Linked DNA regions of Schizosaccharomyces pombe. Changing the gene in region 2 together with the main gene of any one other region gives a genetic interaction. Each region holds a gene or a part of one and is shown on either strand. Other genes may lie near its edges.

Evidence for each region.
Region 1: mutations in SPOM_SPBC15C4.06C (region 2) and nts1 together harm fitness less than expected from each alone (positive genetic interaction), as found in Schizosaccharomyces pombe (one large-scale study listed by BioGRID).
Region 3: mutations in SPOM_SPBC15C4.06C (region 2) and adh4 together harm fitness less than expected from each alone (positive genetic interaction), as found in Schizosaccharomyces pombe (one large-scale study listed by BioGRID).
Region 4: mutations in SPOM_SPBC15C4.06C (region 2) and pex8 together harm fitness more than expected from each alone (negative genetic interaction), as found in Schizosaccharomyces pombe (one large-scale study listed by BioGRID).

Annotation. Positions count from the first base shown.
Region 1 is NC_003421.2:929,677-938,265, forward strand, and holds nts1 (protein Nts1), read right to left. Parts: upstream 5,480-8,589; 5' UTR 5,248-5,479; coding exon 5,088-5,247; exon of another isoform or gene 5,019-5,087; intron 4,609-5,018; coding exon 3,287-4,608; 3' UTR 3,061-3,286; downstream 1-3,060. Other genes in the region: proteasome assembly chaperone Pac4, read right to left, coding at 79-453; COPII-coated vesicle-associated protein Emp24, read left to right, coding at 915-1,008, 1,075-1,271, 1,402-1,710; SPOM_SPCC24B10.18 (uncharacterized protein), read left to right, coding at 2,346-2,436, 2,719-2,774, 2,828-2,962; SPOM_SPCC24B10.20 (dehydrogenase), read left to right, coding at 8,127-8,589.
Region 2 is NC_003423.3:2,248,372-2,257,076, forward strand, and holds SPOM_SPBC15C4.06C (ubiquitin-protein ligase E3), read right to left. Parts: upstream 5,340-8,705; 5' UTR 5,036-5,339; coding exon 3,365-5,035; 3' UTR 3,040-3,364; downstream 1-3,039. Other genes in the region: dhx29 (ATP-dependent RNA/DNA helicase), read left to right, coding at 1-2,638; SAGA complex/transcription factor TFIID complex subunit Taf10, read left to right, coding at 6,831-7,478; SPOM_SPBC21H7.03C (multiple inositol polyphosphate phosphatase), read right to left, coding at 8,273-8,705.
Region 3 is NC_003424.3:154,813-162,225, reverse strand, and holds adh4 (alcohol dehydrogenase Adh4), read left to right. Parts: upstream 1-4,293; 5' UTR 4,294-4,538; coding exon 4,539-5,678; 3' UTR 5,679-5,796; downstream 5,797-7,413. Other genes in the region: ecm31 (3-methyl-2-oxobutanoatehydroxymethyltransferase), read left to right, coding at 446-1,249; pan6 (pantoate-beta-alanine ligase), read left to right, coding at 1,281-2,132; SPOM_SPAC5H10.07 (uncharacterized protein), read right to left, coding at 2,754-3,023; SPOM_SPAC5H10.05C (FAD binding oxidoreductase), read left to right, coding at 6,829-7,413. UniProt on the Schizosaccharomyces pombe protein: Involved in ethanol oxidation in mitochondria.
Region 4 is NC_003424.3:3,907,935-3,916,399, forward strand, and holds pex8 (protein Pex8), read right to left. Parts: upstream 4,690-8,465; 5' UTR 4,671-4,689; coding exon 4,609-4,670; intron 4,567-4,608; coding exon 4,083-4,566; intron 4,031-4,082; coding exon 3,894-4,030; intron 3,851-3,893; coding exon 2,806-3,850; 3' UTR 2,601-2,805; downstream 1-2,600. Other genes in the region: NADH kinase Pos5, read right to left, coding at 1-616, 666-861; proteasome core particle subunit alpha 5 Pup2, read right to left, coding at 1,455-1,634, 1,698-1,800, 1,939-2,380, 2,419-2,437; SPOM_SPAC323.04 (ATPase), read left to right, coding at 4,839-4,982, 5,163-5,547, 5,610-6,121, 6,168-6,590; eRF1 methyltransferase Mtq2, read right to left, coding at 6,671-6,856, 6,904-7,190, 7,232-7,293, 7,333-7,426, 7,471-7,537; NEDD8-activating enzyme uba5, read right to left, coding at 7,681-7,764, 7,812-7,887, 7,931-8,138, 8,174-8,364, 8,406-8,465.

The DNA.
Region 1 (8,589 bases), on a different chromosome or scaffold from region 2:
AGACCGCGCTTTTAGTTTTTATTAGTTCAATTACTGGTGCTTAGTTTCGGTTGCGTCGCAAACCCACAGCGAGTTTACCTATGAGGATTTTGAGCTTTCGATAATTTCAATGACAGCACGGATAACCTGTGTAAAAACAGATTGGACCTCAGGATCATTCGGAAAGTCCCCTTGAAGGTTTATGCTAGTGTAGACTTGAGCTTGAAATTTTTTGGAGAGGATCCGAGACATTTGAGTAGAAAGATCGTCAATTGAGCCAGCACCAGTAAGTTTGGTAGTAACGACATCCGATTTACCTGGCATGGAAAGGGCTAAATCACCTGCAGGACATGTTGAAACATTGCTTCCCCATACAAAGATAGAAGAGGATGGATTCAGCTTTATGACTTGTATCCATACTTTTGGTATCATTGCATTCCCAAAATCAAGTTCTTTTTGGATGACTTGAAACATGGTAAAACAATTATTTTTTTTTAAAAATTCAAAGAAAGAGAGGACAAGCAAAGTGTGGCTTTAAAATGTTGGCAAAAATATTATGAATACAACAGTAAAGGTTTTCGAACAAATGGCAAGTTCATGCAAAACCTAATTAATAGGAGAGAAAAAAAAATAAAATGAATTGATGTTCAATAATAAGTTAAATACAAAATAAACGAAGTTTTGGAGAATTACTAGTTATACTCTGAAGACAAGAATGATTTAATAATTTCCACAGAAATAAGGAAAGATACCGTATTACGTTTTTTTTATAAAGACATCGTATTTTTTCTTAAGCAAATTTAACGTAGCGTCGCCTAATTTCACAGTTGTGCTTTGTTTATGCACGGTTGCCCTCCAACTAGTGCTTTGTACGTTTCCTCTACCATAGACCTCATTCTTGCTGCTTCAAAGAGCAAAGAGCTTTACTTTGCAAAATGGCGTTTTTTAACGTATTTAAAGCCGTGTTATGTGCTTATTTTATATCTGTTGTTTTCGGTCATGGCATTACATTGAAACCGCATCAACGAGGTATGTAATTTCAGTGTATTTGTGTTGAGATTCATGGAGTATACAATGCTAATGAAGCAAACTTAGAATGTTTCTATGAAAATTTGAGGAATAATGATCAAATGTCTGTCACTTATCAAACAAACGTTGGTGGTGATCAGCTTGTTTCTATGAGTATCTACAATCCTGCGGGTCAAATTATGCATCAAGAGGTTCCCAACTCTATGGCCCAATATTCTTTCACCGTTAAGAACCCAGGGAAATACATGTATTGTTTCTATAATGTATGTGTTATCTTTTTGTTTTCTGGCATCAAAGCCTGGCATTATGGTCGTCATTTCCCATGTCGTCTAATTGTTTGATGGTTGAGCCGGAAACAGCTAGATGTACAATCTTAACTAACAACATCAATAGGATGCACTCGATGGTGAATCAAAGGAGGTTTTATTCAATGTGCATGGTGTTATATATATCTCTGATGAAGATTTGGATGCTAACAATCCTTTACTCGGCAAGGTCCGCCAACTCCATGATACCATCTCCAAGGTAAAACATGAGCAGGAGTATTTTGTGGCTCGTGAAAGAATACATCGCAATACTGCTGAAAGCACAAATGACCGCGTCAAGTGGTGGAGTATTCTTCAAACCGTTATTCTAGTTTCCGTATGTGTATTCCAAATTTTCTACTTAAAGCGACTTTTCGAAGTAAAGCGTGTTGTATAGTTTATCCGCATAACGTTACTTATTGTTCGCAATAAGTTTTCCGTGCGACTGGACGACGGTCGTAATTTCAAGATTCTGCTTGAGCAGCAAAAAGTATTATAATTGGTCTCTATTTGAAGCTGGCCATCACCGACGACTAAATTTTTTTTAAAAAATTTTATTTCCTGTCGGTTGCTGGCGTTTTCCCTTTCAATCTGAATCTTTAATCTGTCTTTTACTTGTGCAGGTTAATGTTTTCTTTTATGATCTCGCCTGTTCTTTAAAAAAAAAGATTCGTTATGTTTGAAGCAATCATTTAGCAAACGTACGTGTTTTTTAATGAATTTTAAAGTCTTAATTTCTTAAATCATTCTGCACTGTGGGAAACACTGCACTTTAACTTTCACATTTTATGGCATTCCGATCTTTCTAAAGGTACACTTTTTTTATAGACGGTAACATTAACAGTATAACAATTCCCTCATTATACATTTGCTTATAAAACGAATTATTTAGTCTGTAATGCCACTTGTATGTATTACTTATTGCTGTATTCATGGCGATGTTTGTTACCTCCTTCTAATGTTACCTTCAAAGTATCTATGAAAATTCATTTACTACACCAAACTATAACCATTACCATTTATCGTAACTCAATGGCACAAGGAGAATTTAAAAAGAAGAAAAATAGTAGTGCCAACAAGGGCGGACGTGTTACAAAACACTCCAAGAATCCTAAAAAAGGCGGTATGTCAGCTGCAACTGTCAAATATTCGGTGATCTTTGTATGCTAGGGAATTTGGTTTAGGGATGTTTCTTTTAATATTTTAAGCTCATTGAAGTTGTTGGACAACCTTTGTGGTGCTATAAACTCTTCATCTTTTCGTAACTTTAGATACTCATTATAGTAAAATTTTTCATTAAATTTTTTGATACACGTTTCAATCATTTTACTCTTAAGCATACAAGATATCATATTATATGGTTTATCATTCATCATTAATACTCATTACTAACCTTGACTTTTAGCTCGTTATTGTGCCCCTAGAAGAGCAGCTGCTATCAAAGACCATACAATTAATGCGGTATGTTTTAAAATTTACTTTTATATATGTTCTTTTTGCTAATATCTTTAAAGAACATTACAAAAACATTAAATGTTCGCAATGAGAAACTAATTGCCGGAATTGCGTCTCAACAAGTGGGCAAGTTGACAATTACTAAGGCATTAGGTGAAGCTGGTGCCAAGGAGTTAAAGGAGGGAAAGCATTGAGTCGTTTGGTATTTCTTTTTGTGTAACTGTTTTGTTCCTTTTCAAAAGGAGGTAAATGGCTACACTTGATCATACTGCATTTATCGAATTGTAGCATTGGTTTTGGAATTTTATTACTATTATGGTTAAGTATACAGGGAATTCGGTTCATTTTTGATTATTATTTATAAATTAATTTTGTTGGGAAATGAGTAAACGTTATATACAAATATTGTTGTTTGATAATTTTCTTTAAATAATTAGACTCAGTAGTGTTCCAAATAAAAAGCTCGTAATTCTAAGATTAATAATTATGTTCCACAAAAAAAATGCTTTTAAACATTCTTAAGTCCTCGTTCGTTTGTTTCGCGATAAGTTTACAGAAGTAGTTTTCGTTTTGGAGTTCTGTCCTCGCCCAGAATTTGACTCTGCATTTGAAATGGCTTTATTTAAAATTCTCCACTCCTGCTGCCATGTGTCGAGTAATGTTCTAATTCTTTTAATCTTTACTCGTTTTTCTGGAGTATCTTCCGGTGGGTGTTCTCTTTTAAGAAAATCAATCAGCTCTGAAAGCTCTTTCTCTGAATCGGAAGATTCCAATTCTATTCTCTCTTCCGCTTCAACTTTCCCGTCACCGTTAACTTCTAAATCAACTTCTTCTTTAATGCTTTCTTTTTCCGAAGTAGCCGTTGTTCCTTCTACCGGTTTGTGATGGCCACGTAGCATTTCTTCTGTTGCCGCAGTCGCTTTTTCAACATTTTTTCTGCTTTTGTTCTCTTGAATGTCATTAAGTTCTTTCAGCACTTCAGTTGTGTTTGTTGTAGTGCTTTCGGGAACCGGTGATGATTTGGTCGAAGTAGTGGTACTTGTTAAGTAAGAGATTCTAGGTACGATATTTTCTTCAGGGATTTGATCACGTTGAGGGCGTATGTCATAATTGATTTTCTCAACAACGGCTGCAATCTGTTGTTTCAGAATACTCGAAGATTTAACCTCTGATGAAAACCTTTCCATTCGAGGGTTAATAGGCTTTGATACGTTCTCGACATTATCAGCGCTTTCCAAAGCTAAATTAGGAAAAGACATTGGCGTCCCTTGTGTTGATCTCAATGTTGACGAAGTAAATATATCTGAAACGACCAACACTCTTTGGGCCTTCAAAAAAGCCAAAAGAACTGAAGGATTGGACCATAATTCATAAGCATTTCGAAATGATGGATCATAAAATATTTGACTTCCATACTGAATACAGAGATTAGCCACAGCTTTCCGATCACAGGTATGCTGTGATACACGGATTAACCAAGTAGGGTCAACGGCTAGTAAAGTAGCATGCGTGGTATTTGTTTCAACGTCGGTTTCCAAAGAGTCTAAACATTGTATGACAATTTGATTTAAGAAGTTTTTTTCCTCAACGGGAGTGGCCGTTTTTTTCTGTGCTTCAGTGAGAGTAGCATAGGAGTTAAAGTCCTGCACTTTTGAGGTTGAAATGCTAGCGACTGCAGAGTCTCGAACAGGGACGAACGCTGAGTTGGGAGTTAGCCGACAAATGTTTTCTTCTTTGTTGGCAAACCGCAAACTGCGGTATTGTCGGATTAGTACGGGACGCGCATAGGTTTTTCGACTACTAAGATCCTCTGCATCTATTGGAAGTCTTTCATAAGGAACTGCATTAACGGTTAGAAATTTTAATAAAAAAGAAATAAAACATCAAAAAAGAAATCGATTTTTCAAGTGACATTGTAGTAGATTTGAATTTTCAGTCATCATAATTTTTTTATACAATCATTTGCTTTACAGAAAACTGTACGGTTAAATCTCCCAAACATTTTTCCTAGGGAAATAAAAACCCAAGGGCTAAATGTTGAAATCAACCATTCAATTTCGAACAGAAACAACAAAAAATATAATTAACGACCAACGCCACAGTCTCATCCAACCACTCATGCCAAGTCATGAATAGAGTAAAATTTTATATGTTTCTTTGAGAAAATTGAATTGATATAACCTTAGAGTTATAGGCGTGCAAAATGTTTGATAAAAGATCATCAAAATTGCTATCAAGCATACGACGATCAATTGAAAATTCACAATTTTAGAAAAAGCGATAAAAATAAACTTGATTATATCTAATATTCATTCTTACCTAGAGTTAAAAGGCAGTTGTACAAACGACCTCGATCGTCATATTCAAAAATGTTGCGAACGAATGTATCAAGTTCCTCGGTCTGTAGAGGATGGAATGCACTCTGCAAAAATGAAAAGAACTCATCAATATCCGGTTTTTTTTGACACGATTTCACCATTACTCTGTGAGTTTTGAGTCATATATATTAAGTAGATCAATGTTGTCTTCAGTTATTAAGAAACAAATAGCGAGGGTATTGAAAGGAAATATATACCAAAAAAACAAATATTTTAATGAATTCAGTTAATCATGTGTCAATAAATTGTGAATTTAATCTCTATATTATTAACAAATTGATTCAAGTGCTCCGTCGACTGATTCACTGTCTGCAATACTGTTTGGTAGTTTGCAAGTTTCAACGGTAGTCGATTACTAGAACGTAAACATATACTTTACACAATCACTACATGTTAAAACACTTGAAAACAAAAATTCCAATAAGCTTTAATTTCTATTAAAATTTACATCTCTATTGTTTTGACACCAAAAGCGCTAAGGTGAAAGTATACGATAAAATGTAAGTACGGTACAAAAAATACAAAGCAATTCCTCCCGGCACTTTGAGAAGGAATTCATCCTGACGAGAGTCAGAACAAAAAAAGAGAGAGGATCGTGCTTTATTACCAGACGTTCTGATAATCATTACTGAGACATATCAGTGATGCAATCCTTAGTGCTGCAATAATAATTAAAGAATATTTCAAGGAACTAAAGGAATCTTTCTAACTTTGATTATATAAAATAATTTTAATATTCTAGTGATGAAAAGATTATTCCTCGTTCGTTTTTTGGTTTACTATTTCATTTATCACGAATAGTGCTACAACTAATATGTAAACTTTTACGTTTAATACTGATGAATCATGTGAGATGTCGATTGAAATCTTTAAAAGATATTCTTACGTATAACTAACTCTCAACTTCTTTTATAGCCACGGTTGTAATATTTCTATTACATAGGATTCATCTGCATTAGGACAGTTAATTTCAAACAAATGGATACTTCTGTAGTTTTCTGAAATGTCTTCTCGAATTTTTTACCTCTCATTTAAATGAATTATAAGAAGCTAAAGAACAATATAAATTTTTTGTGTAATTGGCAATACTACATTACAGTTAAGCCCCAAGAAGCGAGTAGAGGCACATAGTAGGGGAACTAAAGGCTCCGAAGGCCTTTACTTCAATCTTTAGGTTCATAAAATATATAACTTAAAATAACATGTCTTTTTAAATGGTAATTTATTGAATAAAACCTATTTTCAATTAACAGTGGGAGATGGGAAATTTAGTGTTTAAACATTGATTAACAATGAACTATACGAGGTAACGCAGAATATGTGTTACCCATTCAGCAAATCTTAATTGTTCATGAATCGTGGATAAGCAAGGAATATACGATCCATACATTTTTAAATACGAAGAGAATGTTAGAGAATTTCATCGATGGAAGGTCATTTTACTACTGAGAGGTAACGGTAGAATACTGCTTTTGCATTTTCCAACTTGACAGGGTTCATTCGTCAAAATCGAATATAAAGCGAAATTACAATAATAGCAAGATAGCCGTGGCATACAATTAGGTGTTATTTTATCAATTGGTGAATCTTAATACCAAATAAGAATAATGTGTATTCTGAAAGAGAGGTGCAGGAAAATGCGTATAAAGCAAGAGGAAACAGCAAAAAAAAATTATATTAATTTTGAACAACATCATTTCATCTCAAGATAAATTTGTTCCATTAGTCAATTTTTAAACATCATCAGTTTTGATAGCCCTACGGTCGGCGAATTTGCAACTTTGCATATGACACTTAAATTTAATATTTGGGATAAAAGTAAATATGGCTTGACCTCAAAAGAATGCATTTGAAAATTAACAAAATTGTATGTTTTCGGGGGGTTTTTTTTTTTTTTTTTTTTTTTTTTAAATGATCAGTGAATTTTATAAGGTATCCGATATGATTTTAACCCAGATTCAAAAACAGGAATATTATTTTATTACATTAAATTTTTGAAGCATCAAAGTCGGATATGTTTATTTTTAAACGAAATTGCTTAACAAAAGAAAATATTAAAAAAATAAAGTCTGATCATTAACAAGCTATATGATGTTTACAAAATCTACCAAAAAAAAACACATATATAAATAAAAGAGGAAGAATGAAAATTACATTTCTCGCAGTAAAAATAAAACACTAAAAGAGCTAGTGCGTACAAAACACTCCATAAATATAAAATAAATGAACATACAACAGAAAAACCATGAAATTTTCTTACACCCTTGATATCCTTTCCTACCTACTAAAGTAGATTAACAGTGTAGAAAGAAAGGAGCGATATATAAAGCAAAACGCTATATTTACTTTACGAAGCACCTTTCAAAACGTTACAGTAGCTGTACATTCTGTCAGGTTCCTTTATAAAGTCAGTTGCAAATTGAAATATAACGTAGCCTGTCATTAAGTTGCTTATATGAAATAGAAAAAAAACCTTCACTATCGATATATAGTTAGACAACGCAAGTTAGCACCAGTTGGTAAATTTGTAGCAATAAAAATGTGAATCCGCTACATTGTTTGTATGTTTATTATCGAAATGTATTGCCAATTCTTTAGTTATAGTAGCTTTATCTAGTAGCAAATGGAGGAATGATACCTGATAGAATTCAGCAGCCTTTTACTTTAAAACTGCTGTCCCAAACTCAGACTAGAGATACCAGCTACGACTTTAGGGCTTAATTTGGGCAAAAGAGCATAATGTCATTCATAAAGCATATTGATTGATTAAATAATAACGTATTATTGTTTAGTGACTATAGTTTAAGAACTGTGCGACGATGCATTTGCAGATCTTTCTGACTTGATACATTATGCGTGAGCGCAACTGTTTTACACCTCCAACCAAGTAGGCTAGGCAAGACGACTGACCTTGATATAAAGAATTATTGTTGAAAAAAATCATCACCTTGAATCTTTTTGAGTCATTTTATGCTAAAACATGTCGGCTGCTGGTGGGATAGTTTACGTTATTGTGGGTGGAAACCGTGGCATTGGACTTTCTCTAGTCAAAGAGTTAAGCAATAAGGAAGGAGTAACTGTTTTTGCAAGTGCTCGTGGACCTGGATCTGCCTCTGAACTGAAAGATTGGAGCAAGACCCATTCCAATGTACATATCATCAAGTTAGATGTCACTTCTCTACGAAGTGCCAAAGACGCTGCCATGCAGGTTGAAAAGGTAGTAAAATGTATTGATGTTCTTTGGGTGAATTCGGGGATATCGAAATCCTTCCAACCTGTTTTGAAAACATCAGACGAGCTTTGGATGTCTCATTATCAAACCAATGTGTTAGGTCCTATTCATGTTTACCAAGCTTTTTATCACTTGTTAAAGGAGGGAAAGCTAAAGAATATTGTTTTTACTTCATCAATGGCTGCGTGCATGGGAGGAGTTCGTCCAAACA
Region 2 (8,705 bases):
TGCAGAAAAACAAAACACTGACTTAGCAGAAGATGCAAAGATTTCCGAGAAGTTGGATTCCATTATAAAGAGCAAAGAATTGGAGACCCCAACAAGCGCTACCACTTCTAAACTCATGGCCCCTATGGATAATATTGGCAAGTTTTCTGGATTTGAAAGGCCACCTGAGACTTTACTAAACAAATGGCGACAACAACTTGAAAGTGAATCAGCCGAAAAATTTAAGGTTTTCCGTAATCAGTTGCCAGCTACGATGTTTAGAGAGACAATTATTGATGCTGTCAATAATAGTCAACTCTTAATTATATCAGGAGACACAGGTTGCGGTAAAAGTACGCAAATTCCTGCTTTTCTGTTGGAAAATTCTACAAAAAATGGAAAAGCAGTCAAAATTTATGTTACAGAACCTCGAAGGATCAGTGCCATATCGTTAGCTAATCGTGTTTCTCAGGAACTTGGCGGCAATCCTCCTTCAGCTCGTTCGCATGAGCTTGTTGGTTATTCTGTTCGTCTGGATTCCAAATGTACGCCTTTAACACCTTTAACTTATGTTACTACAGGTACATTTCTGCGTCTCCTAGAAGTTGGAAACGAAATAGAGTCTGTGACTCATCTGATTATTGATGAAGTTCATGAGCGCAGCATTGACTCGGATCTTCTTTTAATTCATGTACTTCATTTACTTAAACAACATCCTCATCTTAAGATTATAATTATGAGTGCAACTTTAAACGCCGAAAAGTTTCAGTTATACTTTGAAGGAAGTAATTTAATCACAATACCTGGTAAAACATATCCAGTGCATAGATTTTATTTAGAAGATATACTTTCCCAGTTTGGAAATGATAAGTCGTTCGGTAACGCTGCCGGACAGGATGTTATAGAGGAAGATGACTATGAAACCGACCAACAAGATGCGAGCATCTCAAACAAATCTGCGGAGGATGCCATTGTTGAAATGAACCTAATTCCAGCTTGGTATAACGAGAAAGCCATTAACTATGGTTTAATCGTTTATCTCTTAAAGTATATATTCACTGAAGGAGATCCGAAATTCAGTAAGTGTGTATTAGTATTCTTACCTGGTATTTCGGAGATCCTTCGTGTAAAATCTCTTATCGAAGATATGCCTATGTTTCGAAATCATCGTAAGTTCTGTATATACATGCTACACTCTACACTATCCTCTGCGCAGCAACAGTCCGTTTTTAACATCCCTCCCAAAGGGTGCCGCAAGATTGTATTGTCGACAAATATCGCTGAAACTGGTGTTACTATTCCAGATGTCACTTGTGTGATTGATACAGGAGTACATAGGGAAATGCGTTATAATAGTAGAAGACATCTTTCTCGGTTAACTGATACATTTGTATCTAAGGCCAATGCCAAGCAACGTAGTGGACGTGCTGGTCGTGTTCAGGAAGGTATCTGCTATCATTTGTTCTCAAAATTCAAACATGATACCCAATTTTTGTCTTACCAGACACCTGAAATTCTGAGACTTAATCTGCAAGAAGTTGTTTTGCGAGTAAAGATGTGCCAAATGGGTGATGTACAAGATGTCTTAGGCAAGGCGTTAGATCCACCTTCCTCTACCAATATTATTCGTGCTTTAGAAAAGCTTCATCAAGTGGGAGCGCTCTCTGAAAACGAAAAATTAACAAAACTCGGCAAATTTTTGTCGCAATTACCTGTTGATGCAAATTTAGGAAAAATCTTGGTTTTGGGATGCTTCTACAAATGTGTAGATGCCGCTTCTTCAATAGTAGCCATGTTAACAATCGGTTCACCTTTTAGGAAATCTGTTGACAATGAATTTTCTGCAAACAAAGCCCGATTATCATTCGCTAAGGAGAATACCAGGAGTGATTTAGTTTTGATGTATTATGCTTACTGCGCTTGGCGAGAGATTTGCCTTTCACCTTTAGGCCCTGATGAAGATTCTTTTGCCAAAGAAAAGTACTTAAATTTAGAGGCTTTAAGTATGACAGAATCACTAAAAATCCAACTGCTTTCTGAGTTGAAGGATATGAAACTTTTAGGCGCTTCGGATGTTGATACTTGCAAAAGCCTAAAACGTTCAATATGCCGGCGTTTTGCCGTTATCCCCAAAGAGCATGATATTAACTCAGGAAATGCAGAAATTCTGTGTGGCGTAATTGCTGCATCTCTGTATCCAAACATTTTAAGGTATGATTACGAAAAAAGACAGTGGTCAACCTTGAGTACCAACAAGCGTGTTAGAATTTTAGATGTATCGGTGAATAATAGGTCTGAGTTACCTAACATGCCGTCCAAATTCGTTGCTTACACGAACATGATGTCTTCCACTCGAGCTAGTGAGTATGTTAATGAAACTACTATGGTTACTCTTCGCCAGCTTCTAATGATGTGCGGCCTTAAAGTCGAAAATAGAGTATCAGTTGGACAAGCAAAGCTTGACAACTTTACAGTATATTTTGAAAATGTTTACGTTTCGGCATCTTTAAGTATTTTACGTCGCTTTATTGAAACTTCTCTAAACGAATTTTTTGCTGAACCTGATAAACGCTTATTGAATTCCCATCTTGAGGTTATTGTTAACATAGTTTCACGGTTAAATTACGGAACCAAATTTCAGAAACGTCTCAAAGATTAATGAAAGTATCAAAAATGAAATATCAGAAAGTTGGTTTTCACATATCTGCTTAATGACAGGCAAATTTTCTTTCCATTTGGAAAATGTAAGAATTATGTTGGTTGAGCATAAATGTGTAAAATGGAGTTATCTAAGGCTTCATTGCAGAAACTGATGGCTTTTCTATTTTATGAGACACAATTCAGAGTATTTAATTTTCTCAAATCCAAAAATGTCAATTATTATAACTGTATATCGTTTTCTTAGAATATCAAAATAGGTCTCTAAATGAAAAGAAAAAAATATTTACATATGCAATTTAGCATTAGACCGGCTAATTTGTAAAATACTTAATAGTTTTTTTGTACCTTCATCATAAACTAGCAAGCAACATGTGTATTAAACTTTTTATAGTAAACAATGACATGTATAGTAAGCTTTTATATAGTACTATAGAATTCATACGATAACACAAATAATAGATTAGAACGATGAGAAATAGATAATTAGCCCATTAAAAGATGCAAGAAAATTATGAACTTAAGGAAGCGTAAGTTTTCTTCGTCGTAGGAAGAACTGAACAATAAGTATGAGTATGCGTATGCGTATAAAGACAAGCAAAATATTATAACGTAAATGAATGAGAGTCGAACAAAATATGCTAATATAGATTATAAAAAAAATTATCCTTATGAGTAGAAGTACAGGAATTACTCAACCAATGGAGAAAATTCATAAATATGCAGTTTAAACATTGTCCTCGGAAGCATTTTCCAACATGTTTGTAACTGACTGTTTACATAGGGGACAAAGATCCGAATTTTTTAATAAATAAGGATCAATGCAAGCCGGATGAAAGATGTGATGGCATGGCAGTTCTCGATAAAGAGGACTTTCTTCTGAATACTCACACAAGCAAATAGTACACTCCCTCTGATCGAAATACTTACTCCCTCTTTCGGCTGTAGTAACCACATTTCCCTGTCCATCAAAACTTTCTGATTTGTCTAATTTCCAATCCTTTTCATAAACCAACTCATCATTAGGATTGGCAAGATGAGGCCCCGAAAACATTCTAACGGGCAAAGTATCGAGCATTTCTTTAGTAACACGATTTTCTGGTTTGTTTGGTCCAATATTCACAATTCTTTCTTGAACAGGAATTCCATGACGATTTAAGAGTCTATAAAATCCATTCATTGCACCAGAAAAGTGAAGGCAAATAAAAAGGCCTATGACACCGATTAAACCCAATAACACACCAATGAATATATAGAGGCCAAGTAGCTTTGGTTCCTTGCTGATGATAACGCCCAAACGGGCCGTAGCATCAATGTTTCCAAAATATTCGACTAATGCTCCACCATCCTGCACCGAATTTAAAGAAGAAGCCGAGTATTCGTTGAGAATCTTTTCAAAAGCGATGCCGTTTTCGTAAGATATGAGTGCCATTGGTAATGTTTCAAAGGTAATCATATCTACAGCATCTTCAAAGTGGTCAAAATTGGTTAATGAATTACTAGCAGTGCTTGCATTATAAAATAGTATTGCCTTTGCTCTATCCTGGACAGCCTGCAATACATGCATTGGAGCACAATAGTCAAACGGCGCGAATGCGATTAAGCCAGAACTTCCCATATTAGAAACATCTCTAAACCATACGCTTCCCTTGGTATCAACTTGAAGTGACTCGGTGTCATTGCAGCTACCATAAGGAGTAGTTTTATATATAATTCCACGAAAATTATTCTTCAGTTTAGACAAGCTTTTGTAATACTCATTCAAAAGGACCGTGTTGTCAGAGTGGAAGTAAAATGAGACATTTTTTGGAAGATTTGAAACAACATTCTTGTTGTTTTTAACAATAAGAGTAGTTATGGTTAGCGGAAAGAACTGATTGTATTCGACAGCATTCATAATAATAGATGAATTTCCGTAATATGAAAGACCAGAGCTAACATAATTAGATATTGCAGTATTTGGAGCATTGCTGGAATAAGCAGGGTAATAATCATCATACAAGGAGATTGAACCAGAAGTAGAGGACGACCTTGCAGAACTAGTACTAGAATCTGAATAAGATTTGGGATTTGATTCACTGGAAACAGAATCCGAGTCTGATTCACTAGAACTGGACATAGAATCTGATTCATCATGACTAGATCTTGAAGAAGAAGTGTGTTCACTAGCATGCCCACTAGTATGGCCTCTTCTTAATGATCTAAATGAATAAGAGATTGGAGTTGGCGAGATACTTTCGTCCTTTGGCATTCGATATCGCCTTCTTTCATTCCATAGTTTACGAATTGCATTAAACAGCCGCTTTCTCCTCTTTACCTTATTCTCTTGTGAAACATAGCCTCTGTAAACTGCATTGCAATCCAGATGATCAAGCAACTGGTTATTACACAGATGCATAAGAACCTAAACAAACTTTAAGGCACGAAGAAACACAAAGAACTAGGAAACAGGAGGTTTCAAGATTACCAAAAAACAAACCTGCTTTGATACCAATCTTTCTAAATAATGAATCAAATTTAATGGTAATTGAAAGGTAAGCTTTCAATCAATAAACAGACGTTGAGTGGTGATATCTCTAAAGCAGGAATTGTGGAACACAATTAATGAAATTTTTTAAAGGAAATTTCAAAAAATTAGAAAGTAAAAAGTGTGATTCTTTTAACTTATACTAGCTCAAGCTTGAAAACCACAAATTGGTGGTGGCTAAGTAATGAACATCTTGAGACATATTGCGTACATAGTACACAATACATGTGATATACATGTGGAAAGCAATTGTTATTATATTTTCACTATGAGCAGTATACTTCAGTGAAGAAGTTTTTTAATGAAGGAAAAACTATGAAACAAACAAAGCATAAAGTGCAGGGCGAGAAAAACAATCGTGAAATAAAACAGCTTATTTGTGTTTGGTGATTCGACAAGCGCTTTAAACAGGTGTGAGAAACTAAATAATAATAAATGGTAATTATAAGAAATAAAAAAACGAAGAAGTGATACTTCAAAAAGGTAAGCATAGCTGGAGAATTAATGATCAGAGAGAACTATAATAAATAAATAAAAAAAGGATCGCTTAGCGATCAATTAAACAATAAGATATCCTCCTTAAACATAAGAAGCAATTTACTAGGAATACGTTATAGGATTTAATGTTGTTTGAGTATACTTTGTAAACTAGTATAAGGATATAATTATTGTGATATGCTACCTCGTAATTTAGTATAATTTTATGGAGTTCGTTTAGTACAGCGGTTACATATTTGTTTAAGAAGGCTAAGATATAATATACTATATAATTTTATATTTTACTGTATTAACTTACAACTGAACTAGGAAAGGGTAGTTTGTTCGGTTGAGATATTTCTTCAATAATTGTATTTTCCTAAAGATGTTTTACTCGTCCTGATCATTAAAGATCAGTAGTATGGATCCGACAGTTTTGAAATGAAAATAACAATAATTAGTAGTGATATCTAATGTAGCTTTGATCTGGCTTAGCAATACATTATTGGTAAAGTATGGGGAAATGGATTATGTAGTTTGTTATGAGAAATAAAAAATGTGCACCAAATTAATCTCAAATATCCTTTCTTTGCGTAGTAAATTTTTTTATTTGTTTTAAACACATATTAACTGGAAGTCATGTTTGCGCAAACTTTAAAATGCTCATCTCAGCAAATGAATAACATTGTAGTTTGAGAATAATAATTACTTTTGAATACATATGTTCAAGTCCAAGAAGGCTGCCATTCAACTCTAAACTGAACATTTGCTTATAGAAGCAAAAATTGTAGTAGATACCAACTTCGCTCCGAACTCTATATAATACCGATTTTAAACAACACTTTTTACCAGAAGTTAATTAATCTTATATATTAATTTCTATTATTCAACTAGCATTATTCCAAGAATTGGAATTATTTACTTTTCGATCTTAGCCCTTATATACGTAAATAACAATGCTACTTTACCACGAATACAGAATATAGTCCACCTCCACCATCCCTATTTTAGTTGGCCTAGTGGTTTCTTGAAACACTGGATTAAAGTATTAAAAGTTAAGTCCATAAGCTAGGGAAATAAATTTCCTATTATTTCCAATAAGTCGAACGATAAATCAAGGAACCACGGATTTGAATCAAGTTGCAGAAAGACATTCTTTGCTTTACAACATCGGTCAAATAAAGAAAGAATGAGTGACATTAACAATAATGAGCCAGCTGAAAATATTGAACAGCCCAAGCAAGAACCAGAAGATGGAAATAATTCGATGAGTGTTGATGAACAACCCGAAACGTCTTCCACAAATCTGCCAACTGGTGACAATCTCGCCCCAATGAGTGTAGAATCCCCTGCACATTTAAATAACGAGGATTCTCCCAAAAGCGATGATTCTAGAGAAAGGCATGGCTCGAATTATGTTATAGAACCGCATTTAGAATTGCGAGATATGGCCAAAGACAAAACACTTGAAAATTTCTTGGCCCAAATGGATGATTACTCTCCCTTAATTCCAGATGTGTTATTGGATTATTACCTCAGTTTATCTGGATTTAAATGTGTTGACCCACGCTTAAAAAAGCTTCTTGGTCTTACAGCTCAAAAATTTATTTCTGATGTTGCTCAAGACGCCTATCAATATTCTAAAATCCGAACCGGTAGTAGCAATGCATCTTCAACTACGTTTGGTGCGCAGAATTTTGGAGCCGGAGGCGCTTCCGGGATTGGATCTAGCGGAAGAAGAGGTGACCGTGGAAAAACCGTGCTCACTGTAGATGACTTAAGTGCCGCTCTTAATGAATATGGAATTAATTTGAAAAGGCCCGATTTCTTCCGTTAAAGACTTTTTATCCCACTAAGGCCACTTGTGTGAGACCCTTACTTAATGCATTAGTGGAACTTTGTTTCTGAAATCTCATTTTCCTATAAAATTTTTGTTTACTAATTGTTGTTAATTCTAACCTTTTACACTTTTTTGAAATTATTATGTATTTTGAAGATAGCACATTCGGTTTGGCGTGGCATTGTTGATGATCATAATTTCAAAACATTTTCTCATATCGATCCATTTCAGCAGTAGTTTTCATATGAGGGATTATTTATCTTTATATTTTATAAAATTTATCATATGTATCATAGTTACTATTTTCTCGCTATCACTTGCTGAATTTGTTTTACACTGATACTCTCATTCAACATTGATGTAGTAAATGTTTTCTTCGTTATGCTACTATCTGCATTTTGAAAAGCACTTCTGAAAGTGTCAATTACGCGGTCGACAGCTGCCTCATAGTATGTCAGAACCTAACATGCTTCTAATTATAATATGCATTGTATATAAAGTAAAAATTAATATAATTACAGTTACCAGTACTCTTTCAAATAATGTAATGCTTGAAACCTTAAACAAATACAGACTTCTCAAGAAAAATCACTGCCTTCATCTGGCAAAGGAAGATTATCAGTTCCTACAAGCAAACATCTTGTTTTGATTGTAGGAAGGAAAGTACTTGGTATTCCTCTTTTAATTAAGTCTAATATTACCCAAAATTAAATAAATTGATTATAATAAATTATAGTTTATCCTATTCAAAGGATCCATTCTGTTTATTTAAACATTATAGCGCTGATAGTTCAAAAGTAAATGGTAACGTTGGTAGGACGCGCTTGACATTCTGTGTTGAAAATGGAAATACCATTAGAGGTAGAATTTGCCCGAATCGGTGAATTCAAATAAGCCTGTAACTCGCAAAGTCCATCAGAAGTTCCACTAGGTCCATACCCACAATCGATAAGGGGATAAACTTGCTGGTTGACGAGATGCCGTACATAATATTTGCTGTCAGAACAAAAGAACAACTCAGTAATTAAATTTCCAGCGAAGGGAACGAATGAAGAAGTTTTCTGGGAGTATGTATAAATGTTTTTATCAGTCGGCAAAGGATTTTGCGGAGTAATGTCAGGAAAGAATCCCAAAGCAGCTTCCACAGGAATGATATTAGAATCATGAGTAAATGCTAAAAATACTTTACGATCGAAGTCGGGATTAGTCACATTACGAAGTGAG
Region 3 (7,413 bases), on a different chromosome or scaffold from region 2:
AAAATTTGCGAAAATAATGACTTTGTTTTAGGAACGACCACTATCAAATGGGATATCTATTCAAATATTAAAATAGTTGTTTTTAAACAGGTAGCTATTTTAGTTTGCGAATAAAAATCCGTTGCAATTGGACAAACGAATTTCAAAGGTTGTAATTCTTTGTAGGTTATATGAATCGTATGTAAATAAACCAGAGTAACCATGTATGTTAAATGCTTTAACTGGAGGATCACAGTGATTTTTACTTTTTCATAGACATATTCAAAGTATGTGAGCAAGAGGTTTCCTAAGCAAGAATTTCTCTTATAAGTATTATTATTTTTAAAGTAAAGAGTCCATTTTTTAATATGCATTACTTGTTTTTAACATATTAGAAAATATCTGGGTTGAATTGTGCTAGACTTGTTTTACAGACGTACCACCTTATGAAAAGGAATAACAAAAAATGTCATTAAAGCAAATAACTATATCCACTCTTCGTCAATGGAAACTAGCAAATAAAAAATTCGCTTGTATTACAGCATATGATGCCAGTTTTTCACGACTTTTCGCAGAACAGGGGATGCCTGTAATGCTCGTCGGTGACTCCCTTGGAATGACTGCTCAAGGTCATAGTACTACATTACCAGTGTCAGTAGAAGACATAGCATATCATACAAAAAGTGTTCGAAGAGGTGCCCCTAATCGCCTCTTGATGGCTGACCTTCCATTTATGAGTTACAGTACATGGGAGGATGCTTGTAAAAATGCGGCTACTGTAATGCGTGCAGGTGCAAATATAGTTAAAATAGAAGGAGGAGGGAATTGGATTTTTGAAATTGTACAAAGACTTACAGAACGATCAGTCCCTGTTGCTGGACACCTTGGCCTGACTCCTCAGTCTGTAAACATTTTTGGAGGTTATAAAATACAGGGTAGGGAACAGTCTGCAGCAGCACGCTTAATTGAAAATGCACAACAGTTGGAAAAGTTTGGTGCGCAGCTGCTCGTCTTAGAATGTATTCCAGAGTCACTAGCTGAACAAATCACTAAAACTATATCCATACCCACTATCGGGATAGGAGCCGGAAAGCATACTGATGGCCAAATACTTGTCATGCATGATGCTTTAGGAATTACTGGAGGCCGCCCACCCAAATTTGCTAAGAATTTTTTGTCCGGGGCTGGGGACATTCGCACGGCTATCCAACGTTACATCTACGAAGTAGAACAAGGTCTATACCCTGCTGAAGAACACAGTTTCCAATAAATAAAATACAAAATTTCTGGATATTTTGAGCATGCAGGTTCTTAAAGAGAAGCTCCTGATTCATCAGCAAGTAGATAATTGGCGAAAAGATGGAAATCGAATTGCTTTTGTTCCCACCATGGGAAATCTCCATGAAGGGCATTTTTCTCTAGTTCGTGAAGCCAAAAGACATGCCGAAAAGGTTGTTGTCAGTATTTTCGTAAATCCAATGCAATTCAATAATCCACAAGACCTACTCTTGTATCCTCGAACCATGGACCAAGATTGCTCTCAGCTGCAAAACCTGGGAGTCGATCTGGTTTATGCTCCAACTGTTGAGGAGTTATATCCGGAAGGGTCTCAAGACATTACTTTTGTCGACGTCCCTAAGCTGTCCACCATGCTTGAAGGTGCGAGTCGACCAGGCCATTTTCGTGGCGTTACTACAGTGGTTAGCAAGCTTTTTCACATCGTAAATCCGGACGTAGCCTGCTTTGGTGAAAAGGATTTTCAACAAGTAGCCATCATTAAAAAAATGGTCCGCGATTTGAATTTCTTTATTGAAATAATTCAAGTGCCAATTGTGCGCGCAGATGATGGACTTGCACTTAGTTCTCGAAATGGCTACTTAACTTCCGAAGAGAGAAAAATCGCTCCCAATTTATATAAAATTTTGAAAAAATTAGCCCAAGAGTTGAGTAATGGCAATGGCGACTTAGAGAAGTTGATTGCAGAAACTAATACTGAGCTATCACGTTGTAGATTCATTCCCGATCAACTGGAAATCTGTGACTCTACGACTTTAGAACCTTTTACTGCTGGCACAAAAAATGTCGTAATTTTGGCAGCTGCTTGGCTTGGCAAAGCTCGTCTTATTGACAATATCCAAACAACCATCAACTGAGTCATGGATTGTTTTCAAATCACGATCAAGTGATCTTGTCATGTTTCCATTAGCCACAGACCTATAGTGTCTAACAACTCTGATTTTTATGTAACAGAGACGCTGTGAAAGTTTTATGTTTTAACTTTCTTTTACTGTCCTTTTTAGTTTGTTTGAAGGAATACACTTATTCCAATACCATCGTTTTATTGAATGAAATTATCCATAGTTTTCACTCGAAATAGTTTAATGTTAGAATTTGTTTTCTTGTTTGCCCATTCGAATACTAAAGTTTATGTCGCCAATCCTTCACTATGCTGTCGTTTCCTATACAATCGGGCGATTAACAGATATTTAGGAGAATGGGGTTTAAAAAGTCAATAGATTTTTAAATACTTCATCCAATGGTGTTTGCTCTTAAAGGAGAATGATGTATTGGTAAATAACACAAAAACGAACATTTGTGAGATGAATTTTGACCTTATGAAACAATCAAATCCAAGTTTGACCATTTCCATCATTTGCTACTTTCTTTGATTTTAATTACTACTTGGGTTATGGGGGTTCGATTACCAAAAAAAAAGGTACATTTGATCATGTTGATTACCTGCAATCATGTTTCCTTTTTGACAAAAAAAAAATTTAAAAATTGATTACCTCTATATATTTGCCAAAACCTTCGTAGGCTATTATTTCTTCAATGAATGACTTTCTAAATTTACAGTCAAGGTTTTCGATGCACCCATTATAACTGGTGCTTTCCATTGAACTAACCTTCCAGATTGGCCCTTTTGTCAAAACTATTAAAAAACTAATATTCCGTATTTTTCCTTTCTCTCTTTTTTCCTTCTTTTCAAGTGGGGCTGGAAAATCCGGCCCACAATACAATTTGTATGAAGTTAAGACTGTCATGCTGTTTTACTTTCGATATGATCGAGCTTGTTAATTTACAAGTTCTTAATAAAACGTTGTGTTTCTTTTACTTGACGATAAACTTATTTAGGATTGCTTAGACATACTTCCCCTTTGTTCGATCATCATGAAAAAAGGCCCATGTAATTATTCCCAAGTGTTTTCATATATAAAAAAGTTTTAATTTTTTTTTAAAGGGCATTGAGTCAAAGAGAAATTTTTAATTTTTAGTGAAATAGTATAAAATCCCTTTAAAGATGTCGCTTTCAAACCAATTCAGAAACTTTTGTATTCATCCCAACACTTCAACTAAGCTCTGATGCTCCTCTTACAAACAATAACATAAATTTTTACAGCGCCGCAAATGCCAAACAATGTGTGCTAAAAATTCCGGAGGCACGTTGCCAGCAGTCATTCTCATTCCGATTTTACGATAAGCAAAAAAATTGTCCAGAAGAACCGGAAGATGAACCAGCGATAATGCGATTGCTTTGACCGTATATTCCCCTTGGAGACAGAGCCGCAGTGATCCACATAAACATGGTAAATCCGTGGATCTTCTAGAAGATCTTGAGGTTTTACTGCCAATCAGCATCGACGACGATCACGTCAAATAACGAAAAAAACCCTTTTTGAGAATTGTTCCAACGTTAAGGTAACGCACTTTTTGGCATTTGGATGGCATGCATGCCAAAATCACAAAGTTTGCAGTAATTCGGGTTGCTTTGTTTTGGAAAAGTTCTCCCAGGAATCTAAAAATGTTACATATGTCTTACGACGAACTTACTGCCTATCAACTTGAGGGTAAAAGAAACGGAATGTGACCATTCATATTGCTTGGAATTGTTACTCAGACAATTGTATATAATGGCGCTCTTCATACTCAAGACGCTTCAGAATATTCCAATTCCTTTTGGGTAGAGAAATATTTGATCTTCTACTTTTTGGTAAGTAAAATTTATGATAATGGCGGAAAGAATGACAGTTTGGAGGTGATTTGATGTCGTTTGGAAAAGAGTTTTGGTGACAAGCAATTTTGTTTTGAAAATCATTTGAAGATCTTTTAATTCCTTAGCATTTATTTGACGTTGGAGTTGGCTGCAGATCTATTTAGCGAAATTGTTGTAAAAAGATCGATGTTCGATAAGTGTTCGTTAAGCGAGATAAGGAGTGGAAGTATCGAAATTTTAGACACTAATTGATTACACATTGATATTGGAGAAATTTTCGTACACTACTTAAGGCTCATTCCCCCTTGACTTTTTTGACCGATTGTTACATATTTCTTTTCCGTTTGGCTAATTATTTATTTTTTTTCATACTTTGTATATTATTGATTCTAAAAAATATCGGAGGTTAAGCTTTAGATGCGATTTTCTTTTTAACATGTCCATTCTTCGTTCTCCATTTCGTTTAATTCGATCGCCTGCTCGATTCTTTCCGTCACTCTTTCATTCCTCTTGTAATCAATCTTTTACTAATGGCTTAAAGCATCAATCAACCTCTTCGAAAGCCATGCCTGTTAGCGCATTCTACATACCTTCTTTCAACCTTTTCGGTAAAGGTTGTCTTGCTGAAGCCGCCAAGCAAATTAAGATGAGCGGCTTCAAAAACACCTTAATTGTTACCGATCCTGGTATTATTAAGGTCGGTTTGTATGACAAAGTTAAGGCTCTGTTGGAAGAACAAAGCATCACTGTTCACCTTTACGATGGTGTTCAACCTAATCCCACCGTTGGAAATGTCAACCAAGGTCTCGAAATCGTTAAGAAGGAAAACTGTGATTCTATGGTATCAATTGGTGGTGGTTCTGCTCACGATTGTGCCAAAGGTATTGCTTTGTTAGCTACTAATGGCGGTAAAATTGCGGATTATGAAGGTGTTGATAAATCCTCCAAACCTCAACTTCCCTTGATTGCAATCAATACGACTGCAGGAACTGCTTCTGAAATGACTCGTTTCGCAATTATCACCGAAGAGACCCGTCATATTAAAATGGCTATTATCGATAAGCATACTATGCCTATCCTTTCCGTTAACGATCCTGAAACAATGTATGGATTACCTCCTTCCTTGACCGCTGCTACTGGTATGGACGCTTTGACTCATGCTGTTGAAGCTTACGTCTCTACTGCTGCTAATCCCATCACCGATGCTTGTGCTGTCAAATGCATCGAACTCGTTAATAAGTATTTGAAGCGTGCTGTCGACAACGGCAAGGACGAAGAGGCTAGAGACAATATGGCTTATGCCGAATTCCTTGGTGGTATGGCATTTAACAACGCATCTTTGGGTTATGTTCATGCTATGGCTCATCAACTTGGTGGTTTCTACGGTATTCCACATGGCGTCTGTAACGCTGTTCTTCTTGCCCATGTACAGAAATTTAATTCTAGGGATCCAAGAGCAAATGCTCGCCTTGGTGATATTGCTTTTCACTTGGGTTGTGAAGAGCATACTGCCGAAGCAGCTCTTGACCGCATCAGTCAACTTGTTCTTGAAGTTAAAATTCGTCCTCATCTAGTTGATCTAGGTGTCAAGGAAAAAGATTTTGATGTCTTGGTTGACCACGCTATGAAGGATGCTTGTGGTGCTACTAACCCTATTCAGCCTACACATGACGAGGTAAAGGCTATTTTCAAATCGGCTATGTAAATAGAACGTTATCTCGATACCTAGAACAAATTATGAGCTTTTACATTTCACTGGCTTGAATGTTCACTTCAACATATCCTAAAGCATTTTTTTTGGCTTGAACCTTTTTTAGATTTGGAAAATATGTAAACAACGGTTTAATATATCAAATTTTGGATTTTTTTTATTAATTATATAAGTGAGCCTTTTCTAGTAGACACGCACGTCGTTTAATGAGTCTTGTTTGTATAAAAGTAATCATGTCTATCTTTTTGCTTCCAACGTAGTTCCAAACAACTCGAGGCCTTTTGTGAAACCTGCCATGGTGTCCCCTTCAAAACTCGATGCTATAAAATTCAAGTGATTAAAGAACTTATTCTTTTTGGACAATTAGCTTATACTGAAGCTTAATAGATTTGTTCGCGGTAATTCTCTTATTGGAGGAAATCTTGCACTAATGATCTACCAAATTCTGAATAGAGAACCAATTATTAGGTTCTGATGATCTTTTGCTAATACCTTACAAAGATAACATAATGAAACTAATGGATCAGAGGAAGAATTAGATCTTATTCCCAATTGCACTTGCAAATCCCAATAGAAGGGGAGACATGGATACCTAGTTAGAAACTAAACGCTTCTACATATTTCATAGTAAAAAACTTTTGGTCAGTAACTAACTTTGAAATACAATAGCTACTATAAGTGTTAATGTAAAATATATTTTGACTTCTATTAAAAGACCGCTGTTTAAAAATCACATGCAAAACCTCATTTCAATTTTACTCTTAGAAATTTGCCGATATTTTTCATTTAAAAGATTTAATGACACGATGGAAATGCACATTGTTTTAAGCTGCAACACAGAAACCGGCCCACGGTATAGTGAAAATGCATGAATATTATTAGTTTTTACAAATGACTAAATCCATTAGATGATTTGACGATTACCTACATTTCTAAACGTACAATCAGCGTAAAAGGTTATAACACAAGATTTTGCTTAGTAATAACTTGATTCATGAACACCAAGCAATAGAAAATATTAATATACCTCGTTATTCTTACTGTGTAAATTGATTCCTAACATCAAAGAAATTACTCAACAACCTTCTTTTTCGAGAACAATATACATTTATTTGTCATTTTTGGTAAATTTTAGACGACCCTGATGAAGATACTGCTAATTAACGGCGCTCAAGAATTCGCTCATTCCCAAGGGAAATTTAATAAAACCCTCCACAATGTAGCAAAAGACACATTAATTCAGCTAGGCCATACTGTTCAGGAAACTGTCGTTGATGAAGGGTATGATGAGAACACAGAAGTCGAAAAAATCCTCTGGGCCAATGTTATTATTTATCAATGGCCCGGCTGGTGGATGGGTACACCATGGAAGTTAAAGCGTTATATGGATGAAGTGTTCACTGCTGGATACGGTCAACTTTATGCAAATGATGGAAGGTCGAGTAAAAATCCAACTCAAAATTATGGAAAAGGTGGCTTACTTCATGAGCATCGCTATATGATATCTTGCACTTGGAATGCTCCTGCAGCCGCTTTTGAAGAAGTTGGAAATTTTTTCGATGGGAGGGGAGTAGACGGAACCCTACTGACGTTCCATAAAGCGAATCAGTTTCTGGGTATGAAGCCATTGCCAACCTTTATGGTAAACGATGTTATTAAAAATCCCAAAGTTGACATCGCTGTATGTGCGTATAAAGACCACTTAAACGACGTTTTTGGTTCAGCTAAC
Region 4 (8,465 bases), on a different chromosome or scaffold from region 2:
GTAGGTGTAGAAATGATAAGGCCATCTGCAACGGCCTCTGTCAAAAACTTGTCATTTACAAACACTTTTAGCACTGCCATGTGAGGACTTAAACCTCGATGGATATGCATTTCATTCATAGCGTAAATTGATTCGTTATACAATTTGGTTTTCATTGCTACACGTAGTCTCATCCGCATAAGCACGAACGATCGTGAGTTGTAAAAATCGGCGAATGCAGTTTGAAACGATCCAAAGTCAAATGGTAGTAAAAATCCTAACGTTCCCAAAGAAAATGAGAGTATAGGAGGCATTCCTGATCTTGCGAATAAAGATGCAGCATGCAAAATAGTTCCATCACCCCCTACAGTTATAATTGCATCCACCTTCTGCTCCAAATCCGAGATTTCTGTCCACGTGTACAGATTTAGATAAGAAAATTTTTTTGCGACGTCTGTTTCTGTAATAATGCAAATATCTGGATAAGTTTGTTGTAGATGCTGTACCAAGGTCTCGAAGCAGTGATCAACACGTTCGTCCATTCTTTTCTTTAAAATCAAGATGTTTTTGGGCGGCTTCGGCCATTGTAGCTGTTTCAAATTAGATTTCCCACCGATTGATTGTGGGGATGCACATTCTATTACATAAGAGTCAGCTTTGCCTGGATGAATTTTTGTTCACACTACCTTTATACACTGGAACAATGCGATTCTCTAAGGTGTTTACAAGGCGTATTGACTTTGAATAGACCGAGTTATAACGAAAATATTGTAAAGAACCTAAATTAATAATCGAAAATCCTTTCAATTGGCGAAAATTAGGAGCTAAACAGACTGCTGTATTTCTAACACTAATTCTAAAGCCATTTGCCGCTCTTATCATTAGATTGATCCAATTTTAATAAAAATGGTTTTTCGAAAAGTCTTTATAGAAGTAAAGTGGGATCCGGACCTTCAAATTCAAAGGCAAAGATATATAATGAAGCAACACGTAAAAAACGCTAGTTAGTCAGAAATCCTATACAAATGGTAAAATTACTGTAATAAAAAATTTTGCCTGTAAATCTTTTAAACGATCAGAATTTTGATTTTATTTACTGTATATATTTTTTTTTATTGGAAATTGGATATTTTATGACTTCCCACGATACAAACCATATGAACCGATAAATCGATAAAATTTGACTTAAACCTGGAGACTAGTACAAATAAAAGCTGTTTATTAGCAAAAGGTTCATTTAAAGAAAAGATACGTTACATATACTGATATTACATATATGGTTAATCACAATTAAAATACAATAAACAATCAACCGAACAAACACAAAAACGGTTAAAAGATGAAAGGAATACATTTCTAATCATAGATACTAGGAAAAGGATAAAGGTGATGGCGAAACAAGTCTGTAGAGTTATGTAACATTCGACTAATCATGCTTTATTTGGTAATATTGGCGGAATTTAAATCATCATAGGTTAATCCATTCTTTGCTGTTCACGTGCTACAGCATCGGCCATTTCCTCGTCATTATAGATGTGAAATCCACCCTCAGCGGTAACTTTGGCAAGTTGAACATTTTTGGAATCAAGCTTTTCTTCCATTACTTGTCGAAGTACTTTGAGAATCAATACTTCAGCTTCCTCGAGAGTCATATCCTGAACGACATTGTTAGTTTAACAAAAAAGGAAAAAGATAAAGCAAATAAAGTTAATACGTACTTTGTGAAATTCCTTCACTAGTTCGCTTTTCGCGGGTTCACTACCTGAACCAATAGCTTTAGCTTCATAACGGAAATATGTACCTGAAGGCTCAGAGTGGTATCTGTATAGGAAGTTAGCATCTTAACGAATTACAACAAAAGGAATCCAAACAATGGCAGGTGTACGAAGATAATCAAAAAACAAAAGCATTAACACAATAGCCACATCGTTCCATAAAAATAAAATAATTTTGACTTACAGTTGAGGACCATGCTCATCTATTCCAGCAATTAACAAAGCAACACCAAACGGTCTTGACATGATGCGTTCTTCGCCATCTTCTCCTTCACCAAAGCGAAGTGCGAGATCACAAATTGACTGGGTAGTACTTTCTATACCTTGTGGTTCATCATAGGTAAAACGATGATTTTGTGTTTGAACTCTAGCATGTTCAATAATTGTACGGGCATCAGCTGTTAGGCCTGAAATTGCGCAACCAATGTGTGAATCAATTTCAAACAGCTTTTCAACAGAATGAGATTCCATAAGTGGACTAGTTAATCTCTTTTCAACACCAAGGACGACGGCATCCTTAGTTTTCACACCAATAGCAGTGGATCCTAATTTGATGGCTTCGATTGCATATTCCACTTGAAACAACCGGCCTTCAGGAGAAAAGGTATTTACTCCTCTATCATATTCTAAAGATTAGCTTAAGAAACTTGTACAGTTTACTTACCTGATCTAGTCATAAACATTTTTAAAAGAGAACGTGTAAAGTAGTAGTTGCTGACTGACCAAAACCCAGCCAAATGATAATATCGTTAATATTCCCTATAATACGTTGCCTAATATATCGTAAACCAGATTATTCGTTACACTCCGTTATTAGTGAATATAAAAATTAAATAAAAATATGTACAGAGGAGAAAGGTAAACAAATGTTTATAATAGGTATATTGAAAATAATAATTCGAATTTGAAGATAAAAAAAAAACGAAACTGACTAATATACACGTTTCATGTTACAATAATTGATATTGTAGTGTAACCAAAAACAATCCAATAGCTCAATAGCTTTGGAAAAGAACGGAAAATATTATCCTTCATCTAAATTATAGAGTTTTTAAACTGCACGACCTACGACAATAGATAGCCAAAAGGATAGCAAGGAAGTAGCGTTTTGATAGGGCATTTGACGAATTTGGGAAGATACAAGGAAAATTAAGTCTTCTTTGGTTTCAGTTGAAAATCCTTGAATTGAATTCAAATAATTGGATAAGAATTGCTTTTGAGCAGCAGGAGCAAGAACACTTACTAAACTGATTGAAGCTTTATAAAAAATAAGGGCGTTGTCAAATTCATATCGTATAATTGGCTGAAACCATTTCAATAAAACATCTGTGAAATAATAAGCTATTTCGATGTTATAGTATAACCTTACTCTCGAGCAAAGGATGCTCTTCAGAGAGTCGAGATTCAACGTTTTGGTAAGCAAGAAGAGACACCTAGCATGAACATAAATGTCATTGTCTAGATAGTCTTTTGGAGAGCCCTCATTTAGATTACAAAAAAGACACGCATACAGCGACGCGTAAACATAATGTTTGCATAATGTAGATTCGTCAGATTGAGATATAAGTTTTTCAGCGAAACTAAGACCTAATGATGATATTTCTTTAGCAGTGGAGCTTAACGTTATAACTTTCTCGTTGACTGTTTGCTTTTCTAAACGTCGACATATGAGATTTTGCCAATTATTGATAAAACTCAAAGTTACCAAAACTGGAGAGCCTGATAGCTTTTGTAAGTCTACATATCCCTCGAGTTGAATTGAATCTATAATGGCTTCCCGCACAGTTTCCGAGATAAACTTGGCTGGTTGAGCAACACGACTCAAGCATGTTGTTATTACAAAATCCAATGTAGACCATGATGATGCAACAAAAGAGAATAGATACTCCATATGAAACAAAGTCAAAATAATATACTCACATAAAGATCGGTCTGCAGCCAATACATTGCTTTTACGGTACTGAGATTTTGCCAATGATTCTAAAACCATAATTATTGAGAAAAAATTTTTTTTAACAAACTGATGGTCATTATATTTAGAATCAGAGGAACGACTTTTCCAAGAGGGAATCGCCTTGTCAATTAGAGTTATTAACCTGCATCATTTAGTCTTCCAGAACAGTGAAGTCAAACACTAACCTTTTAATAATGCTGATTTGCTGATAAGTTGATAAGCGTAATAACAGATGGCACAAAACAGCTGTAGGCAAGGAATCCCGCTTGTGTTCAGTATCCAAATAATTGATGAAACCGCTCCAAACAATTTCTTCCCATTTCTGAGACAATTAGTATAAAGTTTTTTGGAGTTCTATATTTACTGCTACTTACCAATAAATGAGGGAGTAACGAAAATGCATCAAAAGAAATATCGCTCGCTGATGAATCGACAGATGCAAAAAGTTGTTGCAGTAAAAAATTGGCTTCAAATCCTGAAAATTGATGCGTTTTTATCTGTTTTGATAAAGCTTTGCTAACTGCTCTTTTCAAGGGGTATTGTAAGTTGACGATATGATCGCAACTCAATAGTTTGTAAAAAACGCAAAGGAGACAAATTCTTCGAAAGCAAAGAATTTCATTGCTTGCATCTACCTCAAGAATGCCTACAATGCTTTTCACGAAGGATGAAAATGGCAAACCGTTATTCGTTACCTTTTTCCTGCTTATCAATTCAACCCAAAATGCAAAGTATTCAGAACGATGCTCATTCCAATAGTCCCATATTCTACCGCAAGCAATCAATTGTGCTACCACCAGTCGAAGGTTCTGTTCATTATGTAAATTGAGTAAGACATAGTGTGTCTCCCATAGGACACTTGGATTGTTAACAAAATGGATTAAAAACCACCGGACTTACGTTTCTAAAGATATCGAGTCCTCTCGTAACAGAAGAAGCACGTTGTTAATGGCTTCTTCCATAATTAAAACGCAGTGTTCTGGAAGCCTTATTATCTTTCGTACGATCACTACCACAGAATCAAACTGCAACTTATAAATTGACTTATACGGAGTTTTCTCATTTCATTAATTACTTTAACAATCACCATATAAGCTGCTGAGCATATAGCGGCGGCCATATCTTGCAGCATGGCGTCTTTTGTCAAATTTGCCAATACGACATTCTTAGATGCGCGATTTCCCCTTTTCAAGAATGTGTCTTTTGAACTAGCTCGAAAGCAAAATTGGGCCATTATTGGAAACACTGGAAGTGGTAGGACTACATTCTTGCGCGTATGTTTTGTAATTTATGCGAAGTGTTTGGAGTAAAAATGCGCTAAAGCTTTAGCAATTCATCAAATTTACTAAATCAGCTTTGTACAATTCATTTTTGTCCCTTAGTCGGAAACCAAACACTTTTTATTATCATTAATTACATGGTAGTAACTTTACTAAATTGCTAACTCAATACAGTGTATACAAGGTTCCTTTACACCCTCACCCTCCACTAGTTTTTCATATCCATTCTTGAAAGGCAAATCTGATAGCCCATGGCAAGCAATCCAATTGCTTGATTTTAAAAGTTCTGGACAGCAGCGTGCCGCATACTACTCTGAAAGATATCATTCCTTTAGAGACAAAGAACATGACACTACATTGGAGAAGTGGCTTTTGGGCGCTTATCGAGGGAATGAGAAGTTTGCTTCTCAACATGTACAAGAGGCCGCATCTATGACTCAGTTATCTCATTTACTTCCTTCGAGTTTAATAAATTTGAGCAATGGACAATCTAGAAGAGCGATGCTTGCATCGAAACTTGTGCAAAGGCCGCAGCTTCTTTTACTTGATGAACCTTACGGTACGCTGGCCACTAAGGGGTGCAATTTATGTTAATACAATTACTAACAGTATTTTTTTTAGCTGGACTTGATGTTACTTCAAGATCTGTTTTGTCTTCACTTTTAGGTGAAATGTCAAACCATTGTTCGCCAAAGATTGTACTTTCCTTACGTCCTCAGGACAAAATTCCCGACTTTATCACACATGTATTGGAATTGAAAAATAAAAAAATCACATATCAAGGGCCCAAGGAACAGTATATTCCTATGACCAGTCACTCAACTAACATACCTGTCAAGCCCCAGATGAAAAAAAGCAAGCCTATTACAATAGGCAAGCCTTTAATTTCCATGGAACATCTCAACTGTGTTTACTGGGGACGAAAAGTACTCTCTGACATAAATTGGACTATTAGAGAAGGAGAAAGATGGGCTTTAACAGGTAGCAATGGAAGCGGTAAAACTACACTTTTAGCATATGTAGTTGGAGACCACCCCAAGTTATTTGCTAGCAATATTAAATTTTTTGGAAAAAGCATTGGGCCCGGCACTGGAATTTCTATATTCGATATCCAAGAAAACATAGGGCATTGTGTAAGTCTATAAAAGTAAATAGTCTTTAAAACTAACGACTTTTTAGTCTCCAGAGATACACAATCATTTCCCGAAGCAACATACATGCTTTGAAGCTCTTCTTAGCGCCTGGAGCACCACCTTTACCATCCCAAAGTTAACCGAAACTCGGTTGGCAGCAATTAGTAGCATCTTAGAGGAATTTGAACTAAAGGATATTAAAGATAAACCATTAAGCAGTATCTCGGTTGGCATGCAGAGATTTATTTTGTTTTGTCGTGCTATTGTCAAACAACCTCGCTTAGTTGTTTTGGACGAGCCTTTCCAGGGAGTAGATACCAAATATGTCCATATGGCGCATAATTACTTAAATGAAAAGCTCTCTCCTTCCCAAGCCATGGTTATAATTTCTCATTACGAAGATGAACTCCCTGCCTGCGTAAATAGAAGGGCTCACATTGATAATGGAAAACTTGTCATACATGCTTGATGATGAACATCCCTATTGAATGTGTATAATTCTTCGACTCCTTTCTAGGATTGTTTTTTGATTGACCCCAAAAATTTGAATTATTCATCCCAAATTGTATTACCAATCCGATAAATTCTTAGAATACTTAGTGTTTCACGCCCAGCTTTTCTTTTTAAAGTCTCATTAACAATAAACCCATCCTTTTGCAATATTTCACAAATAGAGTGTAACTTATTGCGAGCAACTGCAACCATGTAAAATACTCCGTCTTGTGAAAGTATATCCTATCCATAAATGAGTTATTAATGTAAATATAAAGGTCTGACCTTACCTTTAATTGGTTTAACAAAGTGCTAGTGACATCCATACCATCGGTACCACCAGCCCAAGCCGAAGCAATAGTAGCAGCTTCACTTGGTATTTCTTCGAACTCGGTAGGAACATATGGAGGGTTGAATATTAAAATATCAACTCCATTCCCGAGTCTAATTCCGTCAAGGAATGAAGTTTGTACGGTAATGAACAACCCATTATCGTCCTTATACAACTCACGATTATTCAGAGCAGTTATCTTACTAGCACGACACGCAGAATTTGAGATGTCGGACATAAAATGAACTAGACATCAGCATATTATATTTTGTGGTTTGCAACCGTACCAATTGGCTTGTTTTTCAAAATCCCACTTTTTAAAAATGAGGATGCACAGCCAGATCCGCAGCTGCAGGTTAATATCTTCACGATTTAACCAAAAACCTACCCAATTTCCGCTGTTAATAAGTTTTTCATTTCAGCCATTTGGCGCAATTTTTTGGCATCCTTTTCAAGCGCATCGAGCAAAGCAAACGTGTCCTCTAAAAGTGTAATTAGCAAGCTTTTTTGACCTTTTATAACATACCAGCTGGTTCATAAACATCTTGAAATTCTTTTAGACGCAACTGGGATGTAACTGGGGTCGAAAGCATTCGTTCTTACGCGTACCTACTTATTTGAAGAAGGACGTCAGACTGTGGTGCAAATGATATGAGAATGTTTGATTTGGGATAGGAACTTTTGGAATATGATGAATTTTTTTGAAATTTCATTTAATAATAAATACTGATTCTAATTATAATTTAAACGTTTCTGTCCTGCTATGAACACCGTCAAAGACGAATGTATTATTCAAAGGAAGATATTGTTGGGCTAGTAACTAAAGTAAAGTTAGTCCATAATAGTATTTGTATAAATTTTTCATACCTTTATAGTCTCTTGAGCTACAATACCACCTATAAAAGATGATATTGAATGAAGTTCATGACCATCAGCGCGTTCTCTGAAACTATTAGTAAAAAGTCAGAATAAGAAATTTAGCGTACAATTCTTGTATAGCTGTGTAAACAACGTCAAAAAATTTCTCTAATCCAATTTGGGACAAAAATGATTGAGCAACGCTGATTGTTTTAGTTGTATCACTGAACGCTTCTTTGTAATTTTTTCCATGTTTTTCAAGTATTGTATCATATATGCGAAACGCTAAATACCACGGAAGTAAAGAATTTGAGTCAATCGAGGATGATTCGAGAACTACGGTCAGACAAAAGCGAATACTGTTAACGTACCTGAGTTTGATGTAGGTTGATACTCCTCTTTCATTGTTTTGAAATCCATAACCTTTATATTTAAACAATTTCGAGAAAAATGCTTGATTTCTAAATCGGTTATCTCCTCGACTGATCGGTTTAAACGTTTCAGCGTTTGTTGAACGTATTTTTTGAATTTTAAAATATCATTTTCAGATTTTTCTTTGTAGCTGAAATATTAGTAATGGTAAAAGTTAAACAAAAAACGTACATGACCTGTAGCTTTACGTATTGTTGAGTAGAACAATTCATGTCAGGCAATAATCCAGAT